2 linked regions of the Coturnix japonica genome follow. The protein of the gene in region 2 interacts with the protein of the main gene of each other region in a biochemical or structural test. Links are inferred from orthologs where the notes say so. Each region holds a gene or a part of one and is shown on either strand. Other genes may lie near its edges.

Region 1 (3,816 bases), on a different chromosome or scaffold from region 2:
GTTCTCACATTGCCTGTCTTCCAGTCAGAAGGAAGCCAACAGCAGCTCAAGAAGTTATTTGAGTGATATCCTTCACTGTAGTGATGATAATTCATGTAGCATTTTCCATTACTTACAGCAAATTTAGCTGTAAACTATGTTCTTAGCTGGGCTAATGGTCTGAAAACCAGTAACAGAATATTACAGACAGAAAGACACCTACACATAATTACAGACCAGGGACTATGAATGTACTGTTCTTATTCCGTTGAACTGGGGCTGTTGCTCAATCTGGGCTGAGCACTTCAAAGTAGGAAAAAAGCCCCACTAACAGCTCAGGTCTCTATGTGGAAATTAAAAAAAATGCCATTGTCAGTTAAGAAGGAACACCCTGGTGTCTTTAAACAGCTGTGTGGGCATAGGGAGAATGGGGGCTGAGGAAATGTAAGCAAGCACAGTCCTTACGAAGCAGTTGCTGGTGTGATGGCAGTAGTTAAACCTGTGCTGGTTTTCAGCTGTTCCCCCAAGAACCAGGCAGAGGCTCAGGGAGTATTTCTAACAGCAAATTCATCTGAGTTGTTTGCCATTCCAGCAGTCACAAGCTTTGAAAGAAGTCCTGTGAAAAAATACGTGTCGTACACATTTGTGTGCTCCCTCTCTCCAGATGGCACGATGAAAGCAGATAACAGCCTTTACTCTTTCTGCATGCTCAGAGTACTCCAAAGAGGCTGCTGTAGCACCTCGCTTCTGTGGATTTAGTAGTTTCCCAATGTCTGTTTTCTCCAGTGCAGAGAAGGGTGAGAAATGTCTTCTTCCAGATGTCTCATAGGGATTCTCAGTTGCGTAAGGAGCAGAAAATGGAGATGTCCATCCCTTGTAACAGTTAAATGAAGCAAAGTATGGTTTTTTAATATTGGCATCCTTCTAGTCGTCTCTTTGTACTGAAAGCAAAAGATCTGAAAATAGAGGTTTGTGTGGCTATATTCAGAAATCTATTGTGCTCCTATTATTCCTTTGTTAATTGAAGCACAGTGGGAATAGCTGGAGACTGACAGTGTTTCTCAGTGCCTGCAGTCAGCTAGGTCTTGTGTAATGGTGAAGGGATAAAACATACAGGATAGAATAGAAAGCTGCCCTTAAGAACCTATTTGATGTTTTCTTTTTCTAGGTACCCTCCTCCTCAGCCCCTGCTGCTGTTCTGGAATATACAGTTCTCATGTCTATTACACTTGTGATCCATTAAGCTGTCGACAGTCAGTGTTAATAGCTACCTTGAATAATTGTGCCTTAGGTCAAATGCACGGAGAAATCCCGAGTGGAGATGGAGCAGTCCCAAGCTGAGGGTCACCAAGAATCTTGCTGAGCCTTTAGCCTATTTGCAATATATTGCTCACTTGGAATTTTTAGCTTTCAAATGTAAATTGAATTAACTTTAACGAGCGGTACTTTAAATAACTATAGTCCATAGAGGAACTGAATGGGGCATCTTTTACATAAGTTGGAGGAAACGGAAGCTTCCCTTAAGAGCCGATTCAAAGAGCTCCCATTACTGCCCTCATCCCTTCCAAAGGAGGATGAAGGTAGAACAAAGATTGTCAGTTCCTACTTTCATTCTGTTTTCCATCAGTAACCCTCCATTTCACAAATCATTTTGTTTACTTCTTCCATGGAGTAGGAGGAGGAGGAGACATGCCAAGACCATGGGGAGTTTTGTATGTATTTATTTGATGTGTAGTTTCCCGGGAGAAAGCACAGCATTTTGATAAGCATTTCTGATGAGACGGCTCCATCTAGATTTGCAGGCACTAAACTATTTTTTTTTTTTTTTTCAGGCTTAACATTTGAAAAGAACGCCTTTATTTTTGCATTTGTATGCTCAAACATCTTAAACCAACTTATTGGGAGGCTGAGCACTCCTCACTGTCTGCATCTCCAATCCTTGTGCAAACATTAACTAATGAATCCTCAAAGGACATACGTGGGGCTGCTAGGAAAGGTCACTGATTAATGAAGTGGCTTTTCTAAAGCCATACAGTGATTCAGTGGGGAGCATAGAAGTTATTTGGTTGTGTTTGGAACCCGTTGTTTTATTCCTGTGACTCTTAATCCCACCTAAGTCATGGGGTAGGGAAGTTCTCAGGCCCAGGGGTAAGCTGCAGGCCTGACTGCTGTCCCCTAAAGGCTCAAGTGCCTTGTTCCTAGCAGTAGGACTTCTGCTTGCTTCTTCAGGCATAAAATGTACTTGTTGTGTTTGGGTTTTTTTTTCCTTACCAGTTCTGAAACAATCTTTGTCTATTCTGGTGTTTTTCCAGCAAACGACTGCTCTGTGATGTAGTGATTGTGGCAGAAACTGTGGAGATGGAAGCGCACCGCGTGGTCCTGGCAGCCTGCAGCCCTTACTTTTGTGCCATGTTTACAGGTACTCTGCAGCAGACCCTGCACTGGGGCACGGTAAATGGGCTTGGGGGCGGCATCAGGCTATGGGGGAGCATGCAGAATATCACTCACACAGGAAGGTTACTGTGGGGCTTGGTTTGCTGTGGGTGGTTTTTTATTCCTCAGCAAATGCTTGGGTCGTGAAACCACACATTGTTAACATCAGGCACACGTGCTGTGCCCTGTTCACATCAAAGAAGCTGCTGGCACAAAAGTTGTAGTTTTGAGGCCCAGCCCTGCAGATGCTTATTCGTGGTCACGGATGTTTAATCTCCCATGGCACTTGTTGCTGCTGCCCAAAATAACACTGTGGTTCTCTGGATCCCAGTGTGCATTAGTAGCTCTGTGTTTTTACTTTGTTTTCTTGCAGGGTGCATTGTTACAGCCCCGTGTATTTTGGTAATGGCAGATGCAACCTCAATGTGAAGGGAAGGAGGGGGCAGAATTCTGGCCCCAATCACCTGATCCCTATAGGCCATGGCTGTCAGTGGGTGGGACAGCAAGGAGAGCTGTGTTGGTCCCAAGGCAGGCATTAGCCAACTTATTTAGGTCCTTCTGGTAACGTCAGTATGGTCAGGAGCACCTTAGCTTCCTTTCCTTTTCCTTGTCCTCCTTTCTAGGATAGGAACTGACATAACCAAGGTAAATGTATGCTGCAGAGAATGGTTGCCATGGTCTCAGAGCTTCAGCTCTTTATGGTGTTTGCATGTGCTTTGTACTCCTTGGTCTATGGCCTTGAAGAGTAGAGAGCCTTTTCCAGAGAGATCCAACAGTGTCAGCTTGGCATTGTGGGTGCTTCTTGCTTTTACAGACCTTGAGGTTAGGCTTTGATTTATTTGCCATACTAGAAGCAAAATGCAGAATTTCTTGGGAAAAAGCCTCTTGTTTGTGCATCTTTCCTTCCCTTCCATAAGAAGCTTAAGTGTGAACCAATGTCTGAATGTTAGACAAGATGTGAAGTTTGCCACGTGGCTTTATCTGTGTGGGTGCAAAGGTAAATGGCACTGCTGCTCTGTGGGGAGCCTTGGCACTGGGTGCTTTGGGGAGGGGAGTGTTTGTGATGCTGGTTCCTGACAGGAAGGTTTAGAAGTAAAAAAAAAATCACTGGAGAACCCTCTGATCCTTAGAGGTCACCTGACAGGAATGCAGTGGTGCAGAGCAGGGCTGGGGCTGCTCATGTTTCCACGTAGGAATTCTCCAGAAGTGTAATCCCTCATGCAGCAAGTTAACCAGTAATCAGGCCCCGCAGTCACGCGGCTGCTCAGTGTGCCCTGGGATGGGTGGCAGCCGTGGGGCCCCAACACGGCCCTGCAGGCAGTGGATCGGGCAAGGACCAGTTGTCCATTCAGTTCTGATCCCAAATTTCTATGGACTGGGTCTTCTTGCAAAGCTGTGTTGGTT
Region 2 (3,816 bases):
CACGTCCATAGGCTTCTAAAGTAAAAACAAAGAGTCATCTTTCAGTGTGCGGGACAGAGCCAAGCAAAATGGAGAAAATATGTAGGTTGCAATAGACACTGTATTTCCCGAGGCTGGCTCTGGGATTAGTTCTTAGCCCATCTTCTTTGGCAAAGCCATTAATATCACAGAACTAAAATGGGAAGTGATTGGGAACGAGGGAAAAGAGGGTGCTAAACAAGCAGTATGTGGGAAGTCAGTCGTAATTTAGAAGAGATTTTTAAAGCATAGGTTTCAGTTCTTAAGACTATGTTAAAATATCGATATAAAAGGATGACAGTGATTAACATTGATCGCTAAATGACTACTCATGCATTACTTCTGCAGAGTAAAGGGGGAGGTTCTGCGGGGAGCCTTGGGTTGCAAGGCATGCAAAATCTGTTGCTGATGTTTCTTGCTTTGGAGATGAAAAGATCCTGTGTTAGTCCTGTGATGGGTCATCCTTTAGACCTGATAGTAACTTGCACTATTGTAGATTACTTGGAGTTGAATCAAACTATTGATTCTGATTAATTTTATTTTATTTTATTTCCCTTCTGAACTTCTAGTCTGTGCCCTCAGTAGCATCTACAGCAGTTACTGGTCTGGCGTCCACAGCAGCGCAGTCTCTGAAAGATGGTAAGACAGCCTTTGTTATTTCAGATGATTTCTTAGCACAGAGATTTAATGCAAAACTGAAACAAAACTTTACAAAAGTATTGAAAATAATAGCCTCTTCTAATAAGTGATACAGTGACAACTCCTTAAGAATTGTTTTAGTTTTTAGCAACTACACTGACATTTTCCACTGTAGACCAAGAGAACAGAGTGGAACATGCGTATTATGGTAATTCTGTATTTAAAGTTGACTAAAATGATAATTAAACCTTGCAAAGAACCTTCAGTATGCTCCTAAGGTACAGCTTGACAATTTGAAAGGACTACTTCCTATCTCTCGTGATATTCTTGACAGCAATTGCAAAACCTTTCCATTTTGTGTTGCCATGCTGTGTTCTGTGTTAAGGGTATCTCCCCTTAACTGGAGTATTTAATTTCTATTTGGAGAAAAAAAAAAAGGTGGGGGCTAAACTTAAGTAAGAAAACATAGTAAGAAAAAAGGACTGTTTTCTGAACAGTGGAGGGGTGACTATGACTGAAACGTGAATGATAAATGGCTTTCAAAACTTGTTTAATTATTAGGGGTGCAACCAAACAGCCCACACTTCAAGAATAGCCTGAGTCTTAACACTCGGTATTCCCCCACTCATTGCAATTTAAAAAACTCTTCTTTTTTTTTTTAAAAAAAAGGAACTGTTAATTTGCTTCTAAAGTTATTTCAAATTTATTTAGTGAACAACATTCAGTTTTCAAGTTCAATGTCAAAACTTTAAAAGTTAATAAAATGAACAGGAAAATAAAACAGTCCCTTTCTGGTATGCTTGATAGTTAACTATACAGTTAAGCTCACTTTCCTACTAGAAAATGAGTTCCTTTGCTTGTTGATTTAAGGTTGTAAAAGTATGCAAAGTGGAGAGTTACTGAATAAACCCAACGAGCTGTCCAACAGAATTGGTTTAAAAATAGAATGTTATTTCACAGCTTTGTAACCTTATACTGCTAGGGCATACGACAGTAAAATTAGGAGCTACCATCTAAGGATCCAGCTCTGAAGGCCTCACACTGCTTTGAGTAAATGTTTATACCATTTCTTAAATGTACTGAATTTGTACTGAAATTTATGTAGTCACCATAAGTATGGAATTGAAATATGTCATTTCTTGTATAAATTTCATTCTTTTTTATTTATTTATTTATTTTTGGCTATTTCACATCCCTGCTTGAAATCAAAGTGTACTTCTTCTTTATATATCACAGTGTAGAACTGCACTTCTGGCAGGTGTACTGCACAATGGAACTTCATAGAAAAATACTTAATTTTAAAGTTTTAGTTTGATATTCAACATGGCAAAGCTGAGAAAGGAGACCAGATTCCATGAATCCAAAAGCCTGCTTATTTTCTTCTCAATCCAATTCTCCTTTATTTATCTATTTTTTTCTAGCTTCAGCATCATGTGGTGGAGAAAGCAGTGGTACAGCTTCCACAACAGGAGCTGGTGTTCTTAAGATGGGACGGTTTCAGGTAGGCTCCAAGGAGATCTTATAGCAGCCTTCCAGTACCTGAAGGGGCCTACAGGAAAGCTGGGAATGGACTTTGTATAAGGGCAGGTAGCATCAGGATGAGGGGAAATGGTTTTGAACTGGAGGAGGGTGGATTTAGACTAGATATTAGGATTAAATTCTTTGCTATGAGGGTGGTGAGACACCAGCACAGGTTGCCCAGTGAGGTTGTGAATGCCCTCTCCGTGTAAGCATTCAAGCCAGGCTGGATGGGGCTTTGAGCAACCTGGTCTAGAGAGAGGTGTCCCTGCCTGTAGCAGGTTGGTTGGAACTGCATGATCTTAAAGGTCCCTTCCAACCCAAACCATTCTATGATTCTATGTTAAATTGATTTGGTTGCTCATAGAGAATCCTCACCAAGCAGTTACTGCCTGGTGCCCATTCAGTGCACCTCTTGGAAGGTGTTCTTGATGAGAGAAAATATCAAAAATATCCATACTGAGTATGTGGCTGCAGTATTTTGTGCAGACACTGTTATTTGTTCTCATTCACAGGAGGGACTGCGCTAGAGTATACACGGTCTAGTTTATGAATATAGCATTTCATCTTGTCAGACCTTAACTGTTTAACTGTTTGCCTTTGTCTTTAATATCAGTTGCTCTTTGGCTAACTTTGCTGGGGCGTTTATTATGTACTGTTCTTGGAGGAAGCCCCCTCTCAGTCTGCTGTGTAGTTGGAGTTAATTTTGAAGTTTATCTTGAACTGCTATTTTATGTGGAGGGAAGTTTGTAGCATTTCAGGGAAACTAGTTATTTTCCCCCCTCATATGCTTCTGCTATGTAATGTAAGTAAGTGCATCATGTTAAGGAAGAACTTAGAAGGTCTACATGATTGCATTTCTATTGTAGGTGTCTGTGGCAGTGGATGATGTGCTGAAAGAGAGTGACAAACCTGAGACTAAGCCTCTGCAATTTGAAACCACCTCCTCTGATTCCTCCCCTCTTTCTGGCAGCAGTCCAGAGAGTACCCTGGTAAAGCAGGCTGGCGGGCGGAAAAGCGAGGCTGTAGCACATGGTATTCCTCAGCCAGTTCCTGTGCTGCAGTTGCCAGTAGATGATGGTCAGCCTACTAAGGTTGGACGCTTTCAGGTAACAACAACAACAGATCAAGTGGGGCGCTTTTCAGTGTCAAAGACTCAGGATGAGGTCACCTGTGCAGAGAGAGAGCCAATGACTCTCCCTCTCTCTGTGGACTTGGAACAAGTTGCTTCTTCAGCTGCAGCCCCTAGGAAAGAGTTGGAGTCGAGGCAGTCCCCCCATATGAACGGTCCGTCCTCTGAACCAGAGGCTGCTTTCTTGAGTGGAATGGCTAAGGATCTGGATGATGGCTCAGCAAGCCCAGACTCCCTCCAGGCCACAACATCAAAAATCAGCCTCCCTGTTCAAAGCCTTAGCAACTCGTTCAATTCTTCCTACATGAGCAGTGACAACGAGTCAGATATTGAAGATGAAGACTTGAAGTTGGAACTCCGTCGATTACGGGAGAAGTAAGGCTTTTTCCTTCCCTTTTGCATGTGTGAAATGTGCAGCAAAGGCTTAATATGAATTCTATTTTCTCTGGACTTCACTTTTCACAAAGGAAAAAAAGCTATCCTTCTTTAAGAAAAACTAAAAATTTTTT

The links.
Region 1: of the proteins of WNK1 (region 2) and KLHL3, one has a biochemical effect on the other in vitro, tested with the Homo sapiens proteins (2 studies listed by BioGRID). The link is inferred for Coturnix japonica from reciprocal best matches to the Homo sapiens genes WNK1 and KLHL3.

What each region holds. Positions count from the first base shown.
Region 1 is NC_029528.1:3,626,487-3,630,302, reverse strand, and holds part of KLHL3 (kelch-like protein 3), read left to right. Parts: intron 1-2,291; coding exon 2,292-2,398; exon of another isoform or gene 2,399-2,430; intron 2,431-3,816. UniProt on the Homo sapiens protein: Substrate-specific adapter of a BCR (BTB-CUL3-RBX1) E3 ubiquitin ligase complex that acts as a regulator of ion transport in the distal nephron.
Region 2 is NC_029516.1:52,104,580-52,108,395, reverse strand, and holds part of WNK1 (serine/threonine-protein kinase WNK1), read left to right. Parts: intron 1-587; coding exon 588-657; intron 658-2,078; coding exon 2,079-2,158; intron 2,159-3,044; coding exon 3,045-3,682; intron 3,683-3,816. UniProt on the Homo sapiens protein: Serine/threonine-protein kinase component of the WNK1-SPAK/OSR1 kinase cascade, which acts as a key regulator of blood pressure and regulatory volume increase by promoting ion influx.